Linked DNA regions of Caenorhabditis elegans. The protein of the gene in region 2 interacts with the protein of the main gene of each other region in a pairwise test. Each region holds a gene or a part of one and is shown on either strand. Other genes may lie near its edges.

The links.
Region 1: the proteins of arp-6 (region 2) and ahcy-1 interact in a two-hybrid assay, tested with the Caenorhabditis elegans proteins (one large-scale study listed by BioGRID).

What each region holds. Positions count from the first base shown.
Region 1 is NC_003279.8:6,834,247-6,838,640, forward strand, and holds ahcy-1 (Adenosylhomocysteinase), read left to right. Parts: upstream 1-2,222; 5' UTR 2,223-2,238; coding exon 2,239-2,460; intron 2,461-2,528; coding exon 2,529-3,284; intron 3,285-3,352; coding exon 3,353-3,688; 3' UTR 3,689-3,894; downstream 3,895-4,394. Other genes in the region: teg-4 (Splicing factor 3B subunit 3), read left to right, coding at 112-156; dpf-3 (Dipeptidyl Peptidase Four (IV) family), read left to right, coding at 4,108-4,281, 4,328-4,394. UniProt on the Caenorhabditis elegans protein: Adenosylhomocysteine is a competitive inhibitor of S-adenosyl-L-methionine-dependent methyl transferase reactions; therefore adenosylhomocysteinase may play a key role in the control of methylations via regulation of the intracellular concentration of adenosylhomocysteine.
Region 2 is NC_003280.10:8,034,173-8,039,229, forward strand, and holds arp-6 (Actin-like protein C08B11.6), read right to left. Parts: upstream 3,175-5,057; coding exon 3,098-3,174; intron 3,051-3,097; coding exon 2,613-3,050; intron 2,571-2,612; coding exon 2,415-2,570; intron 2,370-2,414; coding exon 2,208-2,369; intron 2,163-2,207; coding exon 1,739-2,162; 3' UTR 1,705-1,738; downstream 1-1,704. Other genes in the region: sap-49 (Splicing factor 3B subunit 4), read right to left, coding at 307-448, 522-1,291, 1,341-1,595; C08B11.9 (uncharacterized protein), read right to left, coding at 3,370-3,881, 3,924-3,972; Ubiquitin carboxyl-terminal hydrolase ubh-4, read right to left, coding at 4,208-4,388, 4,432-5,057.

The DNA.
Region 1 (4,394 bases), on a different chromosome or scaffold from region 2:
CCTAACGAGATTATGCAATTTCAAGACAACAGAAACATGAGAAAGTGATCAGAAAATTATTAAAACTACAAAAAATTTCCATATTATAGCCTAAATTAAATTAATTTTCAGATCTCAAAGAAGTTGGAAGACATTCGCACTCGCTACGCCTTTTAACATAATTTATTTATTTTTATTTGTTGAATTTCTACATTTTTATTTCATTTTTAAATGTTTTTTCTCCTGATTCTCTCATTTGATCTTCGTTTCCTCCCGTCCCAACCTATTCCCATCCTAAAATTATAAATTGTTAAATAACTTTCTTAAAAGATTTTTTCAGGAAATCTCTCCTTTTTACCTTTCACTAATATTCTTTTACTCCTTTTTTGTTTCTCGTGCGCCGATTGTTAACAAGATCACCATGATATAATCATTGAGATAAGAGAAGAAACATAAAATATGAGACATTGTGAATGGCGTGATGTGTAGCTGATCAGCTGTCTGGAATTCCAGATGAGGTATACGGTCGAAGTGGGTCTAGAAAAATTCGCCTTGCCAAAATTTCCGATACTAAATTACAAAAATCATTTTCCGGGAAATAGATATCTCAGAGAAACTGCACCGGATTCTCAGCATTCGAGGATTTTGGAAAAACCAAAAGAAATTTTATTTGGAAAATTAAATGAAGTCTATTCTAGGAGATTAAAACATTAAAAAGTTTATAGAATTCTATTAGACATTAAAACCACCTGAACTTTGCAAAATTGATAAGCGAAACCTAATTGTCTACGAAATTGGCGGCGGAGGGCATTTCGAAAAAAGAACTACGATAAGAAGTGACCTTGGATGATAGAAAGTAAGAGATACATAGATCTCTAATAGATTCTTCTAGAATTTAACGAGATTTGCAAAGAAAATTTTAGTTTTAATTGTAATGAGCAAAATTATATTTCAGAACACAGTTATATTTCAGAACATATCACTTAGAAATTTTGAAACTGTCCCGGTCGACGTCTTGCATGAAAAATTACATTATCCAAATTGAGGCGCCACATTGTAAAAAATGTGTCAAAAATAGAAAATTAATTTTTGAATTTCCCTCGCTTTCCTCTTTCTCTGCTTTCTCTCAAGCTCTTATCATTCCTGCACATCTAACATAGAAAAGTACACAGAAGCGGAGAATGAGAGACGCAGCACATCCACGACGAAAAGTGGGCGGAGACTGATGTGGCACAGGCATTTGGGTGCTATAAAAGGCCGCCGTTGGGCCAGAAATAACGCCGTAGGAATACGGGCTAGCAAAAAAAAAAGAAAGTGATTTTTCCCTTTCAGACTGAAAAGGTACTGAATCATTCTAGAACAAGAGGAAAGTGGGGGAAATCTATCATCGACGAATCCTAAAATTTAATCTGAAACGTGATATCCTTTTCTAGGTCGTACAGAATCTTCAAAGAAATCTGCGGTGGTGTGGAATTCAGGAAGGTCACTTTACCAAAGCTATCGGCCAAAGTAATCTTACATTTTACAAGGCTATCAAGATTTTATCGCCAATTCTCCATAAATAACGCTGTCTTGACGGTTGACGAGCATCGCAGGATGCATATCTCACCTCATGTGTCAATACGTTTTTTTCTTAAATTTTCTTTAGTAATTTTCAAATAAAAATCATCGTTTCGCGGCGAGTAAGTCCAAATTTTAGGCCTTCGTGGCGGGACCCACTGAGAAAAATCACTGCGCCTTTGATCGAAACAGTAGAAATTTCGAAAAAGCTTTCTTTTTGGGAAAAGTTTTTGCAAAGTTCCTCGCTTTGTTTTATGTTTAAAAGACCGACTAGTTGTAAATTTCTTCGTCATGGTTCCAGATTTAATAGATTTTCCCACATATTAAACTCTAAAACCTAAAAAAGTTCTCGTCCACTAACTATCTTCCGTATTTTCGGGTTTACTTATTTACACATGGATTATTGTTTTTTTCCATTTAAAAATTGATGTTTTGGCAATCCACGTAAGCCAAGGTTGTTTTTGTTTATTTTCGATTCTCTGATAAACAAAAACAACTTATAAATTGGAAAATAACCTTCTCACAATCAGTTTTTTTTTCTTCACAAACTCTTGTTTTATCCTTTTCACAGCCGAACTTTCAAAAAAGTGTCTCATTTTTTTTCTTTATTTCCGTCTTATGGACTTCTTCGCTTCTCTTCCCTATCCGTCCTGCAGATTAAAATAAATTTCTAATTATTTCAGGTAAAACACATTCGCAATGGCCCAGTCTAAGCCAGCTTACAAGGTCGCTGATATCAAGCTCGCCGATTTCGGACGCAAGGAGATCATCCTTGCTGAGAATGAGATGCCAGGACTTATGGCTATGCGCTCCAAGTACGGACCATCCCAGCCATTGAAGGGAGCTAGAATCGCCGGATGTCTCCACATGACCATCCAAACCGCTGTTCTCATTGAGACTCTTACTGCTCTCGGAGCTGAGGTAAATCTTGTTTTTTGAAAGAATTAGTATTAAAATAAGTTGGTTTGAAAAATCGAAACTTTTTCCAGGTCCAATGGTCTTCCTGCAACATCTTCTCCACCCAAGATCACGCTGCTGCCGCCATTGCCCAGACCGGAGTCCCAGTCTACGCCTGGAAGGGAGAGACCGACGAGGAATACGAATGGTGCATTGAGCAAACTATCGTCTTCAAGGATGGACAACCACTCAACATGATCCTTGATGATGGAGGTGATCTTACCAACTTGGTTCACGCCAAGTACCCACAATACCTCGCTGGAATCCGCGGACTTTCCGAGGAGACCACCACTGGAGTCCACAACTTGGCTAAGATGCTCGCCAAGGGAGACCTTAAGGTTCCAGCTATCAACGTCAACGACTCTGTCACCAAGTCCAAGTTCGACAACTTGTACGGAATCCGCGAGTCTCTCCCAGACGGAATCAAGCGCGCCACTGATGTTATGCTCGCCGGAAAGGTAGCCGTTGTCGCTGGATACGGAGATGTCGGAAAGGGATCTGCTGCTTCCCTCAAGGCTTTCGGTTCCCGTGTCATTGTCACCGAGATCGATCCAATCAATGCTCTTCAAGCCGCTATGGAAGGATACGAAGTGACCACCCTCGAGGAGGCTGCACCAAAGGCTAACATCATTGTCACCACCACTGGATGCAAGGACATCGTTACCGGAAAGCACTTCGAGCTTCTTCCAAATGACGCTATCGTCTGCAACGTTGGTCACTTCGATTGCGAGATTGACGTCAAATGGCTCAACACCAATGCCACCAAGAAGGACACCATCAAGCCACAGGTAAGAAAATGTTCAGAATTAGGATGAATTCACAATCATCGATAGAAGTTTGAACCAACTTTTTTCAGGTTGACCGTTACACCCTCAAGAACGGACGTCACGTCATCCTCCTTGCCGAAGGACGTCTTGTCAACCTTGGATGTGCCACCGGACATCCATCTTTCGTCATGTCCAACTCCTTCACCAACCAAGTTCTCGCTCAAGTTGAGCTCTGGACCAAGTTCGGAACTCCACAAGAATACAAGCTCGGACTCTACGTTCTTCCAAAAACCCTTGACGAGGAGGTCGCTTATCTTCACTTGGCTCAATTGGGAGTTAAGCTTACTAAGCTTTCCGACGAGCAAGCTTCATACCTTGGAGTTCCAGTTGCCGGACCATACAAGCCAGACCACTACAGATATTAATTTTGTTGGTTCTACCCCATACGGATATTTTTTTAACTGTTTTAAATTGTATTGCCCTCAAACTTCATATGATCTTGAACTGGTTGTATTGTTCCCCATCTACCCGCTTTTCCCCCAAATACATAATCGCCTGATTTAGTCGTTTTTCTTCAACTCGTTGATTTGGTTCTGTTGTTTGTCTTTTGGACATAAATGTTTTATGGAGTAACTTTGACGATTGTTTGAGAAATTATTCTGAAAACGTTTGATTAGGCGTGAGTTTATCGAATTTTCAGATCTACGCCCGGGAAATTTCAAGCAGGGAAAAACAAATTTTAAATTTGTCGGGGTGAAGGGCGCTCTATTGATAAATAAGTTCTTTATTTCTCTCAACGCTTCACTCATTTCGTGTTTCACTTTTTATATTTACAGAAATTCCCATGATGTTCAATTTTTATCAGTTTCTCTATAACCTGCAAAATGTTTCCCCATTTATTGATTTTTCAGTACTAAAACAACTTACCCACACGAAAATGAGGGAAAATGAGCCGGCAAGATTTGAGACTCGTTCATTCAGTCAATTAATAGATCATGCAAGAAGTTGGAAGACGGAGGTTCGAAAAATGATTTAAAAAATATTATTTCGATAAACTGATTCAGGTGCGCGGCATGACAACACAAGGATTCACAAAAATTAGCCTCATGCGTGCAGAAAAAGATCGTCTCA
Region 2 (5,057 bases):
GTACAGATTGTGTGAGAACATTAAAATGCAACAAAAAACCGCTGAAGAACGTGACTTGACGTATCGAAGTGGTAATTGGAAAAGAAAGGTGTGATTGTGATGAGATTGATAAGAGAGAGGAGGAGATGATGGTTGTGGAATATGATTGAAGTTGAATTGACATCAAATAGAAATTGGTTTATGGAATGAGAATAAAACGAAATAATTTAAAATGTAAAAGTTTAGAACAGCTGAAATGAAGATCTTTTCGTGAAAAACAAAAGTTTCTGAAAATAAAGATTAAGGTATTCCAATCCGATCGAGTAATTATGATGGAGGTGGTGGAGGTGGGATCATTCCATGACCAGATGGTGGTGCTGGAGGACGACTTGGTGGTGGAGGTGGATACATTCCTGGTCCAGCAGAAGGATATCGCGGCGGTGGTGGTGGCGGCATGCCTCCCGGATATCTGAAAAGAAAAATTGTGTAAGTTCGAACGGTGAACATGAACGATATTTTCAACTTAGAACAAAAATATATACCTCATCCCTGGTGGAGGTGGCGGCGGCATTCCACCCATTCCTGGAGGACCAAATCGTGATGGTGGTGGTGGTGGAGGCATACCAGGCATACCTGGTGGTCCTGGAGTTCTTCCTGGTGGAGGCGGTGGTGGTGGCGGCCACATTCCAGATGATGGTGGTGGTGGTGGACGAGGAGTCATTCCTGGCGTTGGCGGCATTGGAGGTGGCATTGGTGTCACACTTGGTGGAGGTGGTGGTACTGGTGGATATTGTCCTTGATATCCAGATTGAGCCATTCCCATCAATGGTGGTGGTTGATAGCCTGGGCGTCCTGTTGCATGAGCAGCAATAGCAGCATGAACTCCTGGCATGGCCAAAGGTGTGTTAGCTGGAACACCAAGTGGAACGTCAGAAAATACTTGATGTGGCCGGTCTTTTGGAAACAGTGGATTTTGTGCAGCCAGCATACGCTCCGCTGCTGTTCCGTGTCTTTCTCCTTTTGAATCTCTCTTGAAAGCGTATGAGACGGTGATAGCTCGATTGCAAAGAAATTGGCCGTTCATAGCTTCTAATGCTGTATCTGAAGCTTCGAATGAAGCGAAGTTGATGAACGCGAATCCTTTAGACGTTCCCGAATCAACATCTCTCATGATTTTTGGAACTTGAAGAATAACTCCAAAAGCACTGAACGTATCGTATAGCAATTTCTCATCGACTTCTGGATCCAGATTTCCAACAAAAATATTTGCACCAACATCCATATTCTTTTCATGAGCCGATGCTTTGTTCACCTGAATATTATTTTTTTAAATAATAAACTAAACATATTTGATAGCTTACTTTAATTGGCTTTCCGTATAATTTGATCATGTTTAAAATTTTGATTGCATAATCTGCATCTTCTTCTCCCATGAACTCCACAAATCCGAAACCTTGATGATTGGCAGTTACTCGATCTTTCGGCATATTGACACTGACAACAGGTCCTGCTTGTACCATAAGTTCCCATAGGATGGACTCTGACACCTTCTCGTCTAATCCACCAACGTAAATTGTTGCATCTTGGTTTCTTTCCACTATCGGCCCTGCTGACATCTGAAATATTGATTTTTAAAAAATGAACAGCACATGAAAAAAAATAAGTCCAACAAAGGAAAATAAACCTCTGATCTCAAAAAAAAATATTTTGGCATATATATATATAAAACATGTTTATTTTAAAGTGATAAGAGATCAGTTCAGAAATCTTCATCTTCCTTTGGGGATTTCTCCCTCTGATCATCGAAATTACGAGTTCCCTTCAGTTCATCGGATTGCACAAGAGTCTGGAAAAAGTTAGAGAACTCCAACGAGTCTCCTCGTTCGTCCCAATCTTTTCGGTTGATCCATGGAACTTTAGAAGCAGTGAGAAGCTCTTGACCACAATGCCAGGAATGAGTTTGTGGGTTTATTACGTCATTTGAAACATTCAATCCATATTCTGCTGGCAGCATTGATCGAACTTCTCGTTCCAGGCGTTCACGAAATCCTGGGAAGCACGACGATCCGCCAATCACGATGATATTTTCTGCCAGAGCAGGCCGTAATGCTTCTGGACATTGACAAATACTCTCGATAACAGCTTCTGCGACACCACATTGATCAATATCAATATCCGAGGGACTGCAACAGATAAAATAGTTTATACTTTTTGCCGAAATTACTAACTTGAATAAGATTTCCGGAATGGCGAATCTCTCAACTCCCAAATGAATTGAAGGAATTTGTGGATCGTGTGGCTCTTTAACGTCTTTCACTACACCTCGGAATGTCGAGTGGAAATCCGGCATAATATATCGTTTCATTGTTGTATTTTCTTGAAATCGATTCCTGAATAAAAACAATATAATTAGTATTCTTCATTTTTATACCTACCTAGCCTCTTTCATGCTCTCATCAAAATTTTGTGAGACGAAGCAAAGATCCTCTTTACATTCGTTGATAACGTATGTTTCTTCGCTAACATTCAATTGTCGGTAAGATACCCAGTCCTTCAATTTATTTGTTAACGCTTTTCCACCAACATCGATCCTTAAAAATAAAGCTAATTGTAGTTTGAAAACACTTTCCAACCTTATAACACTATCCTGAATAAGCATTCCATTCACAAATGAAGCTACCGTAGTCCATGAAAACCCGGAATCCACAACAACTGCACACTTTTCGTTGTTGATTTTATTTGAATGTTTTGCCACCAAAGTCGAAGCAGACGTTTTGTGTACCTCTGTGAAGCCGAAATAATCAAACAATATTTCACTAGAGACATCAGGAAGAGCTGGGATTAGATAGTTATTATCTGTGAGTGCAATTCGAGAAGTAGACGCCTCCACATCCATAGATCCGAACGTTTTCTCCCAGATTTGCTGTTGTGTATCCCAATTCACCACATATCCTCTTTCAATTGGTCGCACATAGAATAGCGAAAACTTGTCCGAACATTCTTCTTGCTCGTGTGCAACAAAAACCCGCTTCTTTTCATGTTTCGCTTTCACAATACTGTTTGGAACTAATCTGAAAATATTTAAATTATATTGATATTTTTCTTATTAGAAACAAACCTAGGGGACTCTGAGTCTATCGTACCTATCTTCATATTATGGCCACCATTGTCAAAAATAATTGTTGTTAAACTCATCTACAAAATTATTTCACAGAATGAGTAGTGTGATTTTTCCAGATAAAAAATTAAGAGTAGGGTGGTAACCTATAAGATAACAAATAATTTCGAATTATCACAATATTCATGAAAGTATCAGGCACACAAGAAACAACCCGGTTATTGGAATTGAATTGAAAATCTATGCGTTTTTACGAATGTTACATATGCTTCTTAAAAATTAGGATTCCCACGTAAGGCGACCGGTCCTTCCCGTTGAAGAAGTTGCTGAAGACGAGCGACTTCTTCGTCTTTACGATCCATTTCTCCTACAGGAGTCCAGCTTCTGTCATATTCCAACCGATATGATCCAAGATATTCTTCTTTCTTCTCTTGGTATCCCCACTCGTTAGGAGCCAACATAGAGAAATATTTGTTCATGCTTCCTTGCTTCTGGTACAAATGGTAAATTCGGCCAGGTTGCTTCTCCATGTTACAGGGAACGTTATGCAAATGCTCATCGCGTTGAGCATCTTCGAGAACTGCACGAGCTGCCATATGTAATTGTTCCATTTGATCGGCAATTTGCTTCAGACGATCGCAAGCTCTTCCTTTCACCAATTGGCGGGCACTGTTTAACTGATTTGCCAGCGCGACCAAATCATCGGCATCAATTTTGTCAGTTTGACGAGCACTGGTTACAAGGCGCTGATCTTCACTTCGGGACTGCACGAGAGGAACGTTTACTGAAAAATTTAATTACTATTGATATCAAAATTTGTTCGTACTTCTTTCTCCTCTTTGTGGAAGCTGGACAAGAGGCATATCACTCGCCATTTCTACTTCATTTATCTCCATCTGTAACTAATCTTGTATTAAGCTGTGACAGGCCTTTAAAAACACATGCAATCGAAAATAGGCTGGACGGATTGAGACCAGAAATGATGCAAATATAAAAACAAATTATTGAACTAATAAATTTAATGTCTGATATTAAAACAAAAACAATCAAGAACCCATTTAAATTATGAGAATACAAATAAATAATTCAAGTACGTTTAGAATGCAATATCTATTGTTTTCTCTTCAATTCAAGCTTGGTTATGTCTGTATTCAGCTTGGATTTTTCTTTAGCGGCTTGATAAGCGTTGTCGACAAGTCCAACCAATTTTCCTTCCTTTGCAAGAATCTTCATCAATTCAATTACGAACGGAGTATAATTGTGACGTCGGCGATTGTTTTCCTTGCGGTACCTGAATTTCACACATAAAATATTTAAATTAGAGCATTTCTTACATTTCCATTTTGTAATCCTCATCAGCAATGGCTTTATTGAGATCGGCTATCTGCTCTTCAAGCTCATTATTTTCATTTGCTTGAATCAAGTTCTCCATCATCTCCTGCAGTTTCTGTTTGCGGTTTGGAACAAGTGCCATCAAATTGAACGTGATCTCCCCTTCGCTGTATTTTTGCATTCTTTGTTGAATTACGGGCTTAATTGCCTCAATCCAGTCTTGTTCTTTTTGGAACTCAGCAACCTCAAGTGGGAGCTCACGAAGCCCATCCAGCTCGTAGACCTTATTACCGATTGGCACGTATGTCACAAAGTGATAGTTATCCTCCGATTCTCCGCCTTTGATATCAAGTTCGAAAAGAGTCTGACGAGAAAAACTATTGTGAACAGTGCGAATTTCCTCGCTGTTCGAAAGACAATGACCGCGAGTATTCGGATCCAAGTCAATCGCGAATTCTTTGTACTGATTCAGGATATTTCCAAGCTTCACATCGGTATCTTCCACGTTCATAAGCAAGTTGATGAGAGCTTGAGTAGCACAAGCGTTTTGAATTGTTTGATGAGCAAAAAAGATGTTTTGCTTGTCACTAGGAATCCCAGTTGTTTCATCTCCCTGGCGCCACTTGAA